Linked DNA regions of Arabidopsis thaliana. The protein of the gene in region 1 interacts with the protein of each later gene in a pairwise test. Each region holds a gene or a part of one and is shown on either strand. Other genes may lie near its edges.

Region 1 (6,139 bases):
TAATTAAAATGTTAAATATTTTAATGTATACTGAAACTATTTTTTAGATAATTACAAATCTAAAATCCAAAAATTCTCTTTTGAATATGCTAAATCATAATTTAAAATTATTTTTATTTGTAATAATCAGAAACAATTAACATAGTTTTGTTAAGGAAATTGTATAAAATCTAAAGTAAATGATAATTTGTTATTAAATTAGATTGAAGTTTCCAAATTATCTAATAACATATTACCAAAAGAAATAAGTTTACATATATACAATTTGAATTAAAATAACCTAATATGTTATGAAAACGTTTTTAAATGATTTCCGAAAATATTGGGTAGTTATTAATTTAGTGATTTAATTCGTTTTTTTTAAAAACAAAATCCAAGATATTTGTTTAGTTGTAGTAGTTGTTAATTTACTAAATTACCCATGCAAAAATTCATTTAGTTAGTTTTAAACTACCCTTACAATGTTGTAGTTCATACAATGCTTCCTAATTAATAATATAGATTATCTTATAATTTTGTTTATAATGAATTATAATATAATATATTGTTATGTTTTTTTCATTTATCATTAAAATTTACCGAGCACACCGAATACTTGGATTTTAACTTCGATCTAAATTTTGTTGTTGCCTCGTGTTGGAGAATGTGAGGTTTTGACTTTTGAGCATTGCTATGAGCCTATGAGCAGTCTTGAGCTTTGGAACCCTATTTTTGTTTTAAGCGTATCATCAAGAATGAAGAATACAAACTAAAGGCTATAACTAGACTGAGGAGTGCATAATCTATGAAGCCGTCTCCTACGGTATCTCCACGCCACTTGAATCTGCCTAGCCGCTCGTAGCCTCCAATATGGAGAGTCGTACCTTATGGCTCCTTGGACTCTATGACTCCTCAAGAATCTCGAAAACAAGCTCGTTACGTCTTCCAGATCGGCTACACTCAGCGAAAACGCCTCCACATTTGTCACACACCTTACATTTCTGCTACTAAGCAATCCCTTTGATGGCATCCTTATCCTCGTCCCATCTGAAGGTTTCAGAACATACTCAGTTCCAAGCTTTTTCTTAACGAAGTGTCATCTAAGGAACCAAACTTTTTGGGATTTATGAACACATAGAGATAGAGTCAAAAGGGATGGTACCGGGGTTTACAGAAGAGCGTTCGAGGCACCAAGTGAGGAGTTCTTCACCACAAACATCGCCTTCATATAATGGAAGAACAGAACCATCTTCTCCAATGCTCTCCATCTCACCTCTCACTATGAATACCATTTTCTCAACTAGTCCTCCACGGTGCAACACTGTGCTACTCCCTATGTATGTCCTCTGTTTCAGCCTCTCACGGATTGCATCTAAGATTGGTTCATCCATCAACGAAAATATTCTCACCTGCAAACCCATTCAAATTTCAATACTATTTCTCAGCAATGGTTTAATCTGTGGTCTCTAACTATTACTTGCAGTTACAGCTTCTAGAACTAGCTCTTTGCAACACTATATGGAATTGGGATCTATGCATACAGAAGTTTCACATATGTTTACCTTCTTGAGAAATTTGAAGAGGTGTCGTCTTATATCTCTTTGAAGATCATCAGGCATATTCTCAAAAAGCAATTCTTCGTTAACGCCTCTAGTAGCAGCCCAGTTAAACCGCTCAGCCTCTCGCACCCTCCTGATAATGTCGAACCATTATTCAGTTAGTTTAATAGTGAAACTACTGAAACTGAGACCAATGTAACTCTTTAAGAAAAAGAATATTCAAAGGATAAAACAAAGTTTTATAGGCAAAGTCCACATACCTTCTTATACCATCTGGCAACCGTCTATGGCTCATCCATTGCTCCACATCACGCCGTCTCAGCGTCATTTCCAAATTCCTAATATGGACAAAACACAATCACCTGAGTAGTTAGTGTTTATAGAACCAACCATTATGTCTTGAAATATCTATTTTAGTACAATGATGGAATTGTTTACCTTTTACCAAGAGCTTGAAGGAAATTTTGCATATTACCAATAAGAAGCGCAAAAAGTAAAAGCCCTAGTCCAATGATACCCATAGTAAAGAAGACCTCCCCTAGAAAGTAGCTTGGGACTTGGTTGCCAGCAAGAGTGCTGATTTGCTATGAGAATTATAAAATTAATGATCTTAATGAAGAGTTCCAAGTATGCCAATCAATGCAAAGTAGTTGAGTAGTTGTTCTTAGTTTCCTACTAAAAAACTGAAAGAGAGAAAAAAAAAAACAGTTACCTGGAAGCCCCAGAAGAGAGAGTAACTGTATCTTGTGAAGAGATTAGAATGATTGGTAAGATTGACTGCTTTTAAATAGATTCCATAAGGAAAACCATCTTCTTGGAAACAAGCATTGGCACTCGCATTATCTTTCCAGGTAGCTCGTACTAATACACTGCTATTTCCATTACCACAATCTATAAGATCTTGACATTCACGCCCAAAATTACCGCAAGCATTTCGAAGGCACTGATTAACTCTCTGAAAGAACCAACAGAAAACGGGAAACAATATAAATCACTTTATGCATCTTCTGCTGATCAGGACAAGATAAAAATGAAAGACATTTTGAGAGTTTGTCATACCTGCAGACCAAATAGATACCAGCAAGAACCAACAACATGTCCAGCAAGCATGAAAGTGAGAAGATTAATAACAAAATTAGCCCAAGCTGACTCAAATATGAATCCGGTAGGTGTTTGTCCAGCAAGAAACGGTAGAAGTCTATATAACTTTGGAATGTATTGGAAAAGAACTGCAGCTCGTAGAAGGTTTTTCGCATAGTTTGCCCCGGATGCACCCAAATGTGCTGGTATTATCCATAGTATCAATATCTGTAAACAAAAGAAAACATAAATGAACATCTTCTGATTACCATTACTTAAAACCAGTAGGAGCTCTAACGTAACAATACCTGTGGAAGTGGCATCACTATGAACAAGTCAAGGAAAAACTTTCCTTTGAGGTAATGAAGGGCAATTTTTTTGGGATGACTAACTAACTGGCCAGCTCCAACTACCGTAGACTCACGAGCTACATAGGCCAATCGGAACTGCAACCAATATGGCAAACGTGAGCACTAAAGCCAACATATTTTGTTTATAAAGAGATGGAAAAATGTAAGCAAAAGAAAAGCACCTGAAGTAGAATGTTCATAGTGAATATAACATCTGTTACACTTCTTACAGCTACAAATGCTTTAGTCATCGGCCAATCAATCATAATACATTTGTTTTGCTACAGTGAGAAAATAAAGATGGTCAAAAAGGTGGTGTAAAGGCAAGATAAAAACACTTGGAAAAGCAAAAGATATCTCTGAAGGAAAAACATACCTCTTGGACTTTTATGAGGAAGAAGAAGAGGGGATCTATAAAAATAGCTAACAAGCATGAAAGGGCGAAGAATTTAGTCCAGGTTTGAACCTCTTTGGCATGAGGATTCATGATTCCAGGTAAGTATCTATTAACAGAGGAAGCAAATCTCCTTGCCCAACCTTTAGCATCATCATACAGAGCGTTATGGAACTAGCAAGAAAACAAAAGACTCTGTTTCAACGACATTTACTTGATCCTGAAGCTATATTTGTGAATGTAAAGTAACAAAAATCAAAACTTTACCGTGGAATCAAAAAGGGCAGAAACTCTAGAAGTAGGGATTTGAGCAGCCTTACGGTTGTAGTAAGAAGGGCAAGTAGTACAGTAAGGATCATTACACATTCCCAATTGTCCAGACCTCAAGAGATTTGCGTGTTTCAAAACGAACTCATCCTCTGAGGAGTTTTTATGTTCAAGAGCAGCAAAAGAAGGATACCTCTCAGGCTGAGAAGAGACACCAACGGAATCAGAAGAAGGATGAGGAAGAAAGAGAGGTTCATGCTTGCGAGTAGAGGTAAGAGGACCACTCATTTGAACTAAAGGAGGACGTCTCTGAGTTCGAAGAGGACCCGTGTAGCCTAAAACCACAGTGGAAGTGTCAAATCCTTCAATGGAGGAAGTAGGGTTTGAGAGAGAAACGCTACGACTCCTGGAAGTGAAAGCTCTGGCTCTAGTACGAGATGATGGGTCTGAAATCGGAAGCATGGGAATATCATCGTTTTCGTTGTGGGAAGCCATTTCTTGACCAAAATCACGGTTTCAAGAAGACCCTAGAAGGCTAGAATCTAGGCATAAAGGGAAAATTTGAGGCGGAGAAGGAAGTTGAAGCAGAGAGTTTTAGTAATTTTGATAAGAAGAAGAAGAAATAAGAAAGGAGATGATGACCAAGTCAGGGGTCTTCTTCTTCGTAGCCCAGGTCAAGGAAGTGTATTATTGTAAATAAAACTCATGTCTGGAAAAGTCAAACACTGACTTTTATTACATTGTTTATTATTTCGTGTCCGTGAGGCTTCTCTCTCCTCTGTGTTTTTAACATTTATTTCCTTTTGAATATTCACGAATTCGAAAATTCCTTTATTTGATTACCAACTGTAACTAATTAATTGGCCCTAATTATTGGAGGCAAAATGTCATTAACTACATGGCTGTTTCCGTTTCTTTGTCTTAATTAACTTCTTACAGTAAAGAAGTACCGAAAAGGCAAAAATCATTCATTATCCAGGCTTGATTAATTATTAATTTAAGATCAATTAGAATGGGCCGAAATTATGAGCCCAAGTTACTCAAGCCGAGTGACCTGAAGTAAAATTATACCGTATGATTGGAAAAACAGCAAAAAGATACTTAAGAAACACTAATGAGTGAATTGATTACAACGAATGAATCATCGATTCATCTTTTATAGTGAATCACTAAGCTTTATACTTCAAAATAAAATTACTAATCTACCAAACCAAACATCATCATCAAATTTAACGGTTGGAATTGGAGTGAGCAGTGTTTAATCTCTGGAGTTGTCTCTTTCGGTATCTCCAAGCCACTTGGATCTGCATAGCTGCTCGTAACCTCCAATAAGGAGACTCGTACCTTATAGCTCCTTGCACTCGATGGCTTCTTAAGAATCTTGAAAACAAGCTTGTTACATCTTCAAGATCTGCTACACTCAGCGAAAACGCCTCCACGTTTGTCACACACCTAACATTTCTGTTGCTAACCAATCCCTTTGGTGGCATCTTTATCCTCGTCCCATCTGCAAGTTTCAAAACGTATTCAGCTCCAAAGTTCCAAGTTTCTAACCAAAAAACATTAAGAGTTATGAACACTCAAATGTTATTAGTACCGGGGTTTATAGAAGAGAGGCACCAAGTGAGAAGTTCTTCACCACAAACGTCTCCTTCTGATAAAGGAAGAACAGAACCGTCTTCTCCAATGCTCTCCATCTCACCTCTCACTATGAATACCATTTTCTCTACTAGACCTCTGTGATGCAACACCGTGCTACTCCTTATGTAAGTCCTCTGTTTCAGCCTCTCTCTGATTGAATCTAAAACTGATTCATCCATCAACGAAAATATTCTCACCTGCAAACTCATTAACACTTGGATTCAGAACTAGCTTTTTGCAACACTGTGGAGTCTGAGTACACAAAATGAATACTGACTAATGCTGTCATGAGGCTGTTGCTTATTACCTTCTTGAGAAATTTGAAGAGGTGTCTTCTTATATCTCTTTGAAGGTCATCAGGCATGTTCTCAAATAGCAATTCTTCGTTAACTCCTCTTGTCGCAGCCCAAGTGTACCGCTCAACCTCTCTCACCCTCCTGAAAAAGTTGAACAGTTGATTAGTTATGAATATCACATTACACAGCCTGAGAAAATCAAATGCCACAGTGCACAGACTTTCTTATATCTTCTGGCAAACGTCTATGGCTCATCCACTGCTCCACATCACGCTTTCTCAGCATCATTTCCATCCTCCTAAAACAGAACATGCATTAGCCAAGAAATTCACCATCCCTTTTCAGAACATTGTTGATGAAATGTGATTTACCTTCGATCAAGTGATTGAAGGAAGTTGTGCATGTTACCGATAAGCCGCGCAAAAAGCAAAAGCCCTAGTCCAATGATACCCATTGTAAAGAAAACCTCACCCACTGAGTAACTTGGGGATAAGTTTCCAGCAAGTGTGCTTATTTGCTTTCAGAGTTGAAAACATTTCAACATTAGTTAAAGAGTGATTCAAAGACTAATAG
Region 2 (3,903 bases), on another chromosome or scaffold:
ATACGATAAGTTATCATCCCTTTTTTTTTGGTAACATCATCTTCTTTGACCTCTCGTATTGACAAGGGAGTATATTCAAGTTTATCATTGTAATTTTGGGTATTTGAATGACTACAAGTGTAAATATAACTATATTTTTGGGTATATACTTGTATTTCAGTTTTTTTGGGATACCCATTCGGTTCTTGATTCGGATGGCTGGGATTTGATATTGGATCTTCGAATGTAACAGTTTAGGACCCATTCGAGTATTCATGTCGGTTCTGGTTCAATTCGGTTCCTTCGAATTTAGGTCGGTTATTTGTGTCCGACTCTTTATATGGGAGTTTAGCCTATAAATGGGCTTATAACACCCCATGGTTGTTTTACACTTGATTTTGCTTCTCTTTCTGTATTCACTCTATCTCGATGTATGAGTTTTGCAACAAACTATCGAGTCTTCTTAGGCTTGTTAAGTAAACTTTTTGCATAGTAAAAGCTTTGCGACCACTCTAGTTACCGAAATCTAAACATGCCATTATGCCAACGAGAAAGAAACCAACAAAATAAAAAAAGATAAGTCACAAATTCAGTCTGTTAAAACCTTAAGAAACTACTAGGCTCAAATCAAACCCAAGACATTAAAGGTCGAATCATTCTTTTGTAGATAGTAAAAGCCTAAAAGGTCATCACATCACCACTTTTATTCTTCATTTTTTTCTTATCATCATCACTTAGCCATCATAATCTTGACAAACTCCTCGTAGTTTATCTGACCATCTCCATCAACATCTGCTTCACGAATCATCTCCTCGACCTCTTCATCAGTCAGTTTCTCACCTAGATTCGTCATCACATGGCGAAGCTCTGCAGCGGATATGAAACCGTTCTGGTCTTTGTCGAACACCCTGAAAGCTTCTTTCAGCTCTTCCTCCGAGTCTGTGTCCTTCATCTTTTTAGCCATTAGGTTTAAGAACTCAGGGAAGTCAATGGTTCCGTTTCCATCAGCGTCAACCTCGTTGATCATGTCTTGTAGCTCAGCTTCTGTTGGGTTCTGCCCTAGTGACCGCATCACTGTTCCCAGCTCCTTTGTGGTGATGCAACCTGTTCAATCAGTAAAAGATAACATGAATAAAAACCAGGTCTTGTGATAAATAAGTCTCCAATAAAACTTTTTTAAGCTACAAGAGCCAACAAACAGCTAAACACATGACCATCAATGGATGCCAGAAAAAAAAAGCACTAGACTCTGGAATCTTTCATTATGGAAAACTCATGATCTGTTCTAAAACATACATGACTATACATGACTGTTTGCTTCTCATACGAAACTAAATATTATCAGAGAACTTAAACCTGTAGCTACATACCACCTTACAAGTAGATTCCCATAACAAAGTCAGATTGATATACATACGAAACATGAATGAAACCAGGTCTTTTGTTTAAACGTTTTTGAGCAAAAAAAAGCCACTAATCAACCAAAAACATGACCATTAAATGAATCTCATAAAAACACTAGAATCTGAATATCTTTGGCTATGGAAAAAGCATGACAGGTGCTAAAACTAAACAGTATCTTTGAACTGAAATCTATAGCAATATACCTACTTAAACTACAGAAGAATGACACAAAAAGACGATTCAGAACAAGAATCAGGAACATGATATTCTGCACAAAGCTAGTAACATTTCAATATAAGTCACCTTCAAAGAAACATCAAAATCACAAATCCATGCTTAGAGATGGAACAAAACTACATCAAAAGAGACAATCAAACGATTCAATCAACAACGAAGTAACAATTCACCACACGAATCACCTGAATCAGAGATCGAATCTAGCAAAACCAGAGATTAGACCAAATCCAAAGCGTATCAAAGAATCAGACTCAAATATTTTCTGAATCTGAAGCTGATCGCAGACGAAATCGGAAAAAATGAGATCCGTTATGGTTTTAACAACGATCAAGAGAGATTTAAAAGAAGAAGATGAGATTGAGACTAACCATCTCCATCTTTGTCGAAGAGGCTAAAAGCTTCCTTAAACTCAGAGATCTGTTCATCAGTTAGCTGATCCGCCATAGCTTCTTCTTCTCGTTTCTTTGGTTTTTCGTTTCAGAGAAGAAATGATTTTTTTTTTTCCTGAAGTCTCCGAAGCTGTGAAAATATCTTAGCGACCGACAAAAACAATTATACGACAATGAGGAAAAAGTTAAAACGAAATTAAATGTTTACGGAAGATAATAATAATAATTTACTAGTTGGGTTTTTAGCTAATCATGTGATTAGTGGATGTGGGACTTGAGAGGAAGCCCAAAGGGCCCTTGGATACACATTAAGGCTTAAAAATGTTTTAATAAAACAATTTACATATTTAAAAAGTAATGATTTTTCAATTTTGAATGATAAATAAGACAATCCTCAATAATACAATAGTACTTAAGTTTTAAGCTGTAAGTTTTCCAAAATTACCATTGTTTTATTATTCAGATCATCATTTTATTTGACATCCCTGAAAAGCAAATATTTACTTTTGAGTTTAAAATAAAATTGTGTTTACTTAAAAACAGTTTTATCCTAAAGAGTAAAGACCTAATCTTATAGTAAAAGTTGACATTACTTACTGTATAATAAAAAAAGGATTGAACTAGTAGTTTCTAAAGATAGGAACAAAACAACTGTTCAATTTTCTTCAGATGAAGATTAAAATCTGTTATTATTTTAAATCTCGGGGACTACAAAATTTACCTCCAAATCTATGATTTACTAAAAACAAAATTAGTTAAGCCAACATTTTAACTAACCTAATACTATCATTTGAACACTTATAGGTATGTTAACTGATTTCAAAATTATCTATATACATCTTTTGTAATGGCATGTTTTCCATCAATGTGTGTGAACATTGAAAACATAAACTGTTGAATATCTAAGGTCATCTCCATTGGTAAGAAACCTTCAAAGTTTCTCAAAAAAAAAAATTACTAATATTTTATTATGACTTAATTTTGTAATTAATATATTCTTTTCTTTTTTTCAGTTGTCTAATTACTTCAAAATTTCTCTGCACAGAAACGTTTCTGTAATTATGTTATTCTCTCTCCTCCTTTATGAATTGTTTATATTATATTAGTGAAAAGCAACTCTCAAAATTGTAACCGATGGAGATGATCTAACCTATTTACCAAAAACAATTCAGACAAAATTTATTTTCGGTTTAGTCGTTTTTTTTCGTTTTCTTAATTTCAAAATAATTTACTGGGAAAAGAAAAAATCATCATTACGCTCATGTGAAAAAAGATCGTTCATTGTATGGGTTTTGGAAGTTAGAAAAGTAAGCAAGCAACTTATACCCTATTGGCCATTATATCTACCGAGAAACAACAAGCTCTTTAATTTATAAATTCGTGTAGTTGCCTTAAACAAACCCCAAGCTTTCATTACACACCACAACCAAAATCGTAGTTTGAAGATTCTGATATGTCAAAGAAGCATCTCAAGCCGTTGGAGACATGTTTTGAAGATGAAGAAGATGATGTTATTTATCTTCCTCCAGGTCTTGTGACCGGTGCAACTTCCAAGAAGAATGAGGAGTTTTGTGGCGGCTCCGGCAAGGTACAACCGTCTGAGATGAAGCGTCGGAGTGAAGGGACCTCAACGGACATGACTTCGAAGAGAGCCAAGAAGGTTTCAGCAGAAGATGAGAAGAAAGTTGGAGAATGGACAAAAAACCCATATTTTCAAAGACTGTGGAGTGAGGAAGATGAGATTGTTATGCTACAAGGAATTATTAAATTTGAAGATGTTACAGGGAAAAGTCCGTTTGAGGATAGACACGGGTTTATAGAATTCGTCAAGAACTCCATTAGCTTCGAGGCTAGTGTGCAACAATACATTGGCAAGATTAGCCAATTGAAGAGG
Region 3 (5,730 bases), 9.6 Mb from region 1:
TCAGTTGTTACAAGACTGTTTAGTGTGTTATAGTTTTTGTTTCTTTAATTTTTTTAACCTTTTTCTTTGAGTTTGTTTAGAAAACAGTACATTTCCGTAACTTAATTGGAGAAGTAGTACAATTACTATTTATAATTACTAAAATATTCGAAAAAGTTTTTGTTTGGTGAGAGAGAAAGAGAGGTGTAACAGATTTAAATAAAGAGAAAGAGAGCATTTGAGAGGGAGACGTGGGTCAAAAAAAATTTTCTAATTTTTTTTTCTTTTCTTTATTACATTTCATTCTCTCAAAGTTTAATAATTAAAATACTTGTTTGTAAATTTTATTTTTCTAAAATTGATCATAGAAAAAAAAATCTATGTTTATCGTTTAATTGTTAACATTTCGGCGGTTGGAGACACTACTGGTTTTGTTTATCGTTTATCGTTTACAAGATGAATATAAATCTATAAAACTGTTAAAATTCTAAATTCCTAGAGATAAACTTGGTAACTTAATTTTTTTTCTTAGGACTAAACTAAATGGTTTGAATCCAAGTACATAATTGTTAGTCCTCTACCAGCGGCTCGCATGGTAATCCACCAACCAATCTTTTCTTTATGCCATTACGTAGCCTATATACAAGGTTATTATTATGTTTTTTAAACAATCCCTCGATATATGCAAGTTATCTACTATTAGCTTTCACTATTCTTCGTCTTCATTGTTTTAAGTTAGTTCTTGATCAGCAAGTACAGTGAGCTATAGAATCGAGCAAGAATGAGAGCGGTGGCAGAGGAGATTCAAACGGCTAGGAACGCGATGTGACTCGGGCTGTGAGGGGTTATGCTGGATCAATTCTTTCTCATTCCTTTTAGCATTTTTGGTCTTCTTCTTTTTCTTTTTCTTCTTCTTCTTCTTCCTTTTCTTTATCAATTTACTTGCGCATTCCCAAACATGACTGAGAACAAGAAACAATAAAAACCGAGTAGTTGGTTCCTTCTTTCTTTGGGGTTTAGAAATGAAGAAGATAATAGAATTAACTGTAAAATGTCAATTCTTTTTTGTTTCTTAGTTCGTCACAAAAAAAAAAAAAAGAGAAGAGAGATATATGAACTGAATTGCATAAAAAGAGTCTTACATATTACTAAAGAAAACTTAATGAGCTTGAATGTTAAATTGACAATAACTAAATTAGAAAAACTCTATAAAAACAAACTTATAGTTTATACGGGCCGACCGGATCAGTCGATAAGATTTATTAAAAAAACAAAAAACAAACAAATTTATGGTTCTATTAGTATATAGTTGATACTAATACTAGAACTATGAGTCTATGACTAGTATAGTGGAAATTATAATAATTGTTATAAATATAACTTTAATGACTAACTTGTAAATACTAAAAGTTGATTTTGCATAAAATAAAATATAATTCAATTTTAATATAGAAAAAAATTAAACAATTGAGGAAAATTTATATCTATAATTAAATAAACATATAAAATAAAATTAAATAAAAAACATATAGAACAAACTATTATATACGTTTATGTGTATTATAAATCCAAATATCAAATTCAAATTAGAGCTAATGTTATAGTAAGAAAAATGTCTATACGTAGATAAATTAGTTTTTTTTCAAATATAATCTAGGGGAGAACCACACAAGATGGAGTAGTTTGACAGTACTATTACTCACAAGATAGGCCTTCATCAGCTAATAAACCCTCACAACCTTAACAGCCTTATCAACCATACCATTGGGCCTTAAGTGGGTATTTGAAATAGAAAATGTTTGATCCCAAGAACTTTTACTACTACTTTGTTCTTGCAAAGACACTAAATTTTAAACAATTACAGTGCACGTTTTTGCAACTAGTAAGCAATTATTTCTCCACGTAATGGATATAATTAGTCGATCTCAATAAACTGCAATATTTTAGAGAAAAGAGAAAATAACATCATCAAGTGGTCATGACTCGAGAGACTAAAGCAAATTATGAGTTCAAACGTCACGGACAATAACAAAACCAAAAGGCAAAGAAGAAGCAACGTTACCAAAAAATCACGATCAACAAAACAAACAAGGAAGCAAATCTCTCTGTTTCTTTTGGTTCAATAAATTACTTTTCTCAGTTTTAAAGATGTAAAAGAAAAACATGCTTAGGATTTCGAGGGATAAGAAGAATCTCACTTTGCCATCATGACTTTGACGAACTCTTCATAGTTGATCTGACCATCACCATCGACGTCAGCCTCTCGGATCATCTCATCGACTTCCTCATCCGTCAACTTCTCCCCAAGATTTGTCATCACGTGACGAAGCTCAGCCGCCGAGATGAAACCGTTCTGGTCCTTGTCAAAAACCCTGAAGGCTTCCTTAAGCTCTTCCTCTGAATCAGTGTCTTTCATCTTACGTGCCATTAGGTTCAGGAACTCTGGGAAATCTATTGTCCCGTTCCCGTCTGCATCCACTTCGTTGATCATGTCCTGGAGCTCGGCTTCTGTCGGGTTCTGCCCAAGTGATCTCATCACAGTCCCAAGCTCCTTTGTGGTGATACAACCTGCAATCAAACCAAAATTGGACACAACTTCAGATTTTGTAACGCAAGAGTTCCGAGTATAACTTTATGAACACTAATATTGTCAACAAGATCAGGAAGATATATAAACCAATTATCTTAAACACAAGTAATATGTCAAGTTTTCAAATGCAAGAAAGCTCAAAAATGCTCTTAGTAAAATATCCTTACACTACTAACCCCAATCATAGTATATCTCATTTAAAAGGACGACGATTCGACAAGTAAAACTGATTGTTCGGAAATCATCTACCAAGTTAACAAAGAAACTTCTTGCACACAAACCACCAAGCAACATTTAAAGCCTCTTTCTAATCAAAGGCCAGGAAATGCACAATGTTCTAAATATGATGGTATTCTCTTAGTAATCAAAGGCCAGGAAATGCACAATGTTCTAAATATGATGTTATTCTCTTAGTAATCAAAGGCCAGGAAATGCACCTATTCTCACAAGAAAGCTCAAAAATGCTCTTAGTAAAATACTCTTAAACCCCAATCATAGTATACGACAAGTAAAACTGATTGTTCGGGAAACATCTACCAAGTTAACAAAGAAACTTTTTGCACACAAACCACCAAGCAACATTTAAAGCCTCTTTCTAATCAAAGGCCAGGAAATGCACAATGTTCTAAATATGATGGTATTGCCAATAAGCATCACAAAATGCACACCGTTGCAAGTTCTCAACTATTGTAAAGAAGAACAACAGAGATGATATTATCAACTTCTTTCTCTATTTTTCTATTTGGCAACATCACACAATAAACCAAATTTCGTTTTTTAGATTTTGAGTATAAACATCTGCAGATAAATCTACATGTTACAATTGAATCTTAAAACCACAATGCCACTAAATTTTGTGAGAACGTACAAATCCGCATGATTATAATCACAGGATTTGTTCAGAATCATAGTAAATCACAGAGAAACAACTAGATTCCAATGTACGATTCCAATGTAGGATCTAGAATATGATGAATAACCTAATTAAACAAGATTCCATAACTACAAATCTTAGTAATCATCAACGAATATACTAAAGGAGATTCTACATATTCTAGATCCTTCTATAGAAGCAAAAATCAACCCTAAACACTCTGGAGATGTGAGCAAGACTGAACGAATCAAAACGAGATCGTTCTTCAAATCACATGAAACAATAAACGAAATGTGCAGAGATTCACGATCACCGCGAAGAAATCTAAAAAAAAAACGACAAGAGAAAGAGATCTGAGAGAAGAAGAAGAAGAAGAAGAAGAAGAAGAGACCATCTCCGTCTTTGTCGAATAGGCTAAAAGCTTCCTTGAACTCGGAGATCTGGTCATCGGTTAGCTGATCCGCCATTTTTTTTGTCTTCTTCGGATTTTCTCGAGAAAATTTTTGCTGTGATATTTTCTTGTTTCTGGAGAAAGTTGAAGCGCGTGAGAGTGAATGTTCCTTCTCCTTTATAAAATGAGATCTCACCAGCTACAGGTAAAATGAGGTATTTTTGAATTGACGATTTTGCCCTCCTAAACGTCTTTCTCTTTTAATTTCTCAGACCAAAAAATTAAGAAATTCTAGTTTTGGGAGAAATTTGTTTTTTAGGTTTGCAACTTAGTTTTTACTATTTTAGGCTAATCTACTAACTACTTATGTCCAGATCATGAACTTTCTGCTAATAGTTTTGAATTTGATATTTTTGTATTATTGTTATGGTATCTTGGTATGATATATATTGATGTAACCTGATATTATACATTGATATCCAAACATTGGTGTAGGCAATTTGATAAAATTCATTTTCTATTTGCTAAGTTTATTTTAGGGTAATATTAGATAACCAAATAAAACATACAAATTAAGAAACTAGTAGAGAGAAAGTTTTTTGTTACAAAATAACCATGGACCCATGTTGTCGGAAGAAATGAAATAACAAAGCTACCTTTCATTTGTTGTAAGATGAACTGTAAACGAAACACATTCGTGTAATTTTTCAAAATAACATGTAACATTAAAATTTCACATGTTATATTTAGTTTTAAAACATGCTATTTAAAAAAACGTCATGAATTTTTAAGAAAAAACATTATTATGAAATTTTCTTACATGAACATAATCCTTAAAAAAAATTTATATGTGATTTTAATAAAACCGTGTATTACTAAAAAATAAGAATATATTTTTAAAGAAATCACGTGTGATCTTAATAAAAAATGTGTATTACTACAAAATATCATGATAAAAAGAGATATTAAACTGAATAGAATGTTTTTTCCATAAAATACCATGTGCTTTTTATAAATACTATGTAATAAGAGAAAATAACAAGATAAAAAGAGATATTATGTTATCGCATGTATTTCGGAAAAAAAACATGTTACAAAGGATATTTATGTAATTACATGTGTTCTCCAATATGTTTCCGACAAGCTACTGTGACTCAAGGTTAGTTTGTACATTCTTTTCAAATCTATAATCATTTATTATAAATTCTCTTTATTTTATCACATTTCAAAATTATAACACAAGAAAGAAAATGGTTAGACAATAAATATTAGTAGACGATTGAGAATGATTTTACGGTTTTTCCGTAATTTAGTAGAAAATTTTTGTAGAAAAATTTCCCGCCAATTGCGTTGATTTTACGATTTTTAAAAAATTTATATAATTGTCATCAATTATTTTTATAGTTTACAATTATTATTAAGTAGCACTATACCACAAAATATTTTTTGATTTTATATAATCTTTTCTAATCAGACTGATTTGATAAGTGGTGCTAAAAATAATAAATTAAAGATTTAACCCGTATTCCAAAAAATAAAAAAATTCTAGTTTTGTGACAAATTTGTTTTTTAGGTTTGTAACTTAATTTTTACTAACTTAGGCTAATCTACTAACTACTTATGTCCAGATCATGAATTTTCTGCTAATAGTAAAGCAAAAATCAGATTTTCATATTGAATTTGATATTTCTGTATTATTGTTATGGTATCTTGATATTTCATATTGAATTTGATACATTGATGTAACCTGATATTCTATATTGATGTCCAAACGTTGGTCTAGGCGATTTTAACGTTAGTATATATTAAGGTTTACAACTTGTATCTATTTAAAGAAAAATTATATTTTATAGTTTATAATTGTTATTAAGTAACGGTATAACACGAATTCACAAG
Region 4 (3,709 bases), on another chromosome or scaffold:
CCATCATATAATATAGAGATTATGCACACTTTACACATAAACCAAAAGCGTAAGCAACTCTCTAAGTTACCGAATTACTCATCGAATTCGAAGCAAAAACATGGAGAATCGACCAACAAACCTGCAAAATTGGACGGAGAAAAGTGAGCGAGTAGAGGTGACAAAACCGATGTAGCCGCCTTTGGGGAGCTCAAGAGTTAGCAGGAGAAATTCAAAAGAAAATCTATGGCGGAGAATTCGCAGGAGAAATAAAAAAATGATGGGCTAATACAAGGAGCAACAAGAGATAGAGATGCGACGAAAGAGATACGATGATTGTAGAGAAATTTGTAGCTAACAGACAAAAACTTATTTAATTTCGTGTAGGGACTCTCTCACTTTAATGGACACTTGTTTTTTAATTTTTTTTTTTCGTATGGGACAATTATACGTTTCTTTCCTTTGTTAAGCTCCTCAATTTTCTTAAGAAATAAAATTATGTTTTTTGCCTTTTTTGGTCAATTATTTTGGGTTAATTAATGTAATGACAAAATATTTGAGTATTCAGATTTTGACTAGATATGGACCTAATCAATAGGTGTTTTTTTTTCTTTCTCATTTGAGTTGTTTCTAAGTAATCGATGAATTCTTATGTTTTTGTTACAGACCATTTAAAAAAAAAAATAGTTGTAACTGATTTTATCCACTATTATATATTTTTAAGTCTTAACTCTGAAGTATATATGAGTTTTTTGTAAGAAAGAAAAACCGTTGCTTCTTCACTCTCACTTACTTACTAGTCACTACAAAGTTCAACAAAAGTCATACATTGCAACCGTTTTGTGTAGTGTCAATGGTTATAGACTGATGACAATTATTAGAACATTGAACAAATCATCAACGGCAAAAGCTCATTAGACTCATTTGTAGCGAGTACATATATATTCTAGAGGTGTGGAATAATAAGACTCATATAAATGATCGAACACTCTTTTTGTTTTTAATATAAAAACTAAAAAAATTTAAAAACAGTTTACTTGGAAAAAATGTAGAGATATTGACTAACTTTTTTATTAAGTATCCATTTAAATTAAAACAAAACATGTAAAATCGATTCAAGTTTAACTATTTCTACAAAAAAGTGTATTCATGTAAAATTTTTGCTTATACATATCCGTTTCTGTAACGTAAATTTAGAGGATACTCTAATCATTTCATATGTATCCATATATTATTTTTTTCAACATATTATAAGTTTTTTTTTAATTTTCCAAATTAATTAATATCCTTAAATATCTATCCTAGTTTAAAAACTTTTTATAATTAAATATTTAAATGAAAAAAATAATGTCAAAAGTTTAATTGATATACTGTAAAATATTCTACTAAATCAGTTTTGAAAATAGTCAAAAAAAATTAATAATTGTTAATTTGATAGATTTATTACCTAGTATATATGTCTAAATTAACTGCAAAGGTTATAGTTTTCTTTATAATTGTCTTAAAAAACTAAACTAAAAAGACAAAAAAATCATAAGAATTACTGAATTAGCTAGTAAATCTTTAGAGGCCCAACCATAAGTTGTTGGGCTCTCTCTCTTTTATAAGCTCTCTTGCTGAATTATTATTAGAGAGGCAAATAATATATTCAGTAGCAAAAAAAAAATCTGGGATTTCTAAAAAAAGGTAAGAAGGAAAATGGCGGATCAGCTCACCGATGACCAGATCTCAGAGTTCAAGGAAGCCTTTAGCCTCTTCGATAAGGATGGTGATGGTATGTTTCTTTCCCAGATCTTTGCGTTTTTTCCCCGATGATTACTCCGTCCGTATACGAGTTCTGGAATTTGTTTGACAGATTTATGATCTTCTTCAGTTTTCTGTATGATTCGTGTTTGTTTCACTTGTGAACGATCTAGCTTTTGGCTAATTCGATAGCGATTCATGACTCACGCTGTGTTTTGTTCTTGTTCTGGTTCAGTCTCGTGATGCAGCAATGAAATGTTTTGGGAAATTTATCCATATGTTGAGATTTTGAGTAGTTTAATTGTTGAAAAAAGGATTGATGTTGTAGATATCAGGAATGTATTCTGCTTTGATTGGTGAAAAACTTGCAAAATTCTGTTGTGCATTATTGGCCTTTGCACGGTGAGATGTGGGTTCAATAGAACGAAGTGGCTAGGGTTTTGATTCTGGCTTTGATACCATGTAAAGAGATTTGGAGAAGAATATTGTGTCTTTTTAATACACATGATTCTAGATTTGCTAGTACACACACATAAGGAAAGACGGAATAAACACAGAATATTTCTTTTACCCTAACACTTTAGGTAGGACTTGGAAGAGTGATTATTTTTAGTTTGTATGAATGGAGTTTCTTTGTTAACTTAGTAGGACTTTGTTGAATGAAAAAAAATCATTCTCTTTTTTACTTACCAGATCTTCATCAGTCGAAATAAGAAATACAATGGCTTTTGTTTGTTGACTGTGGATATAAGTCTGTCTCTAAAAGCTTATTATACCTGAATCTGGTTGCAGGTTGTATCACCACCAAGGAGCTCGGAACCGTGATGAGGTCTCTGGGGCAAAACCCAACAGAAGCTGAGCTTCAAGACATGATCAATGAAGTTGATGCAGATGGGAACGGGACCATTGATTTCCCGGAGTTCCTGAACCTGATGGCAAGGAAAATGAAGGACACTGATTCAGAGGAAGAGCTCAAGGAAGCTTTTAGGGTTTTTGATAAAGACCAGAATGGTTTCATATCTGCAGCAGAGCTTCGACATGTCATGACAAATCTCGGTGAGAAGCTATCCGATGAGGAAGTTGATGAGATGATCCGAGAAGCGGATGTTGATGGCGATGGTCAGATTAACTATGAAGAATTCGTCAAAGTCATGATGGCTAAGTGAGAGAATTTTATCTTAAGCCCACAAAAAGAAACAAGATTTATGATTTCTACAGTGAAGTTACATTATGACTTGATTCTGGTTGCGTTCTTTAGGACATCATTTTGCTTATTTCCCTTGTTTGTTTGGTTAAGCCTTTTAGTGTTATGTGAAGTATGAACTCATATTTTGCTCTCTTTTTTGGGCATCTGATTTTATTCTGTAAATTTTTGTTAGTTGTTGTTTATCTTAAAGCAATGCCCTAAAATTTGGCCGCGTTTAAAATACCAGTAAGAGAATTGACCAACGAAAACGATTTTGCAACATCGCCAACGTTATTGTTATTTTACATGAAAAATATAGTAGTTATATGTATCAATAAAATTTACAAACCATTTTGTTTCTTAGTTTGTAAACCGTAAGTCCCTAACCTTCAAACCTTTTTTCCATTAGGATCATCAAAATTGGAAATTCTTTAGAAACAAATGTAAGTAGCCTCTAAATCTATTGTTGTCTAAAAGTTTTTTAAATGATCAAAGAGGTTGTAAACCTAATTTCGTACACTCCCTGATGCTAGAGAGACCAAAAGATGTAATGTGACCATCTCCCAAACGAAAATTGGACTCTTGACCTCTAGGTCCAGAGACTCTTTAGTCAACTAAGTTTGTTGGTGGATGCTTGGTTTATATAGGGTCAATGTTAACCCGATCCAGATAGCGAACCGGACTACCTTATAGGTCATCAGATCATCGTATTCACCCGCGGGTCAAATTATTATAATTTATTCTATAGAGATTATATAGTTTTATAAAGAGAAATTGCCTCAAATATCACATAATCAAGTT

What was found.
Region 2: the proteins of CNBT1 (region 1) and CAM4 interact in a two-hybrid assay, tested with the Arabidopsis thaliana proteins (one study listed by BioGRID).
Region 3: the proteins of CNBT1 (region 1) and CAM7 interact in a two-hybrid assay, tested with the Arabidopsis thaliana proteins (one study listed by BioGRID).
Region 4: the proteins of CNBT1 (region 1) and CAM6 interact in a two-hybrid assay, tested with the Arabidopsis thaliana proteins (one study listed by BioGRID).

What each region holds. Positions count from the first base shown.
Region 1 is NC_003074.8:6,047,059-6,053,197, reverse strand, and holds CNBT1 (cyclic nucleotide-binding transporter 1), read right to left. Parts: upstream 4,385-6,139; 5' UTR 4,125-4,384; coding exon 3,630-4,124; intron 3,537-3,629; coding exon 3,345-3,536; intron 3,250-3,344; coding exon 3,151-3,249; intron 3,065-3,150; coding exon 2,927-3,064; intron 2,847-2,926; coding exon 2,598-2,846; intron 2,494-2,597; coding exon 2,251-2,493; intron 2,123-2,250; coding exon 1,977-2,122; intron 1,877-1,976; coding exon 1,799-1,876; intron 1,672-1,798; coding exon 1,542-1,671; intron 1,389-1,541; coding exon 1,142-1,388; coding exon of another isoform or gene 1,104-1,141; exon of another isoform or gene 1,027-1,103; coding exon 749-1,026; 3' UTR 523-748; downstream 1-522. Other genes in the region: CNGC19 (cyclic nucleotide gated channel 19), read right to left, coding at 4,859-5,136, 5,227-5,467, 5,578-5,707, 5,787-5,864, 5,938-6,083. UniProt on the Arabidopsis thaliana protein: Probable cyclic nucleotide-gated ion channel.
Region 2 is NC_003070.9:24,773,722-24,777,624, forward strand, and holds CAM4 (calmodulin 4), read right to left. Parts: upstream 2,264-3,903; 5' UTR 2,065-2,263; coding exon 1,989-2,064; exon of another isoform or gene 1,821-1,988; coding exon 1,791-1,820; exon of another isoform or gene 1,084-1,790; coding exon 710-1,083; 3' UTR 539-709; downstream 1-538. Other genes in the region: AT1G66420 (DNA-binding storekeeper protein-related transcriptional regulator), read left to right, coding at 3,463-3,903.
Region 3 is NC_003074.8:15,662,446-15,668,175, forward strand, and holds CAM7 (calmodulin 7), read right to left. Parts: upstream 4,025-5,730; 5' UTR 3,911-4,024; coding exon 3,835-3,910; exon of another isoform or gene 3,189-3,834; intron 3,036-3,188; exon of another isoform or gene 2,548-3,035; coding exon 2,178-2,547; coding exon of another isoform or gene 2,174-2,177; exon of another isoform or gene 1,687-2,173; intron 942-1,686; coding exon 743-941; 3' UTR 555-742; downstream 1-554. UniProt on the Arabidopsis thaliana protein: Calmodulin mediates the control of a large number of enzymes, ion channels and other proteins by Ca(2+). Among the enzymes to be stimulated by the calmodulin-Ca(2+) complex are a number of protein kinases and phosphatases. Activates MPK8 in vitro.
Region 4 is NC_003076.8:7,213,919-7,217,627, reverse strand, and holds CAM6 (calmodulin 6), read left to right. Parts: upstream 1-1,575; 5' UTR 1,576-1,677; coding exon 1,678-1,753; intron 1,754-2,514; coding exon 2,515-2,888; 3' UTR 2,889-3,154; downstream 3,155-3,709. UniProt on the Arabidopsis thaliana protein: Calmodulin mediates the control of a large number of enzymes, ion channels and other proteins by Ca(2+). Among the enzymes to be stimulated by the calmodulin-Ca(2+) complex are a number of protein kinases and phosphatases.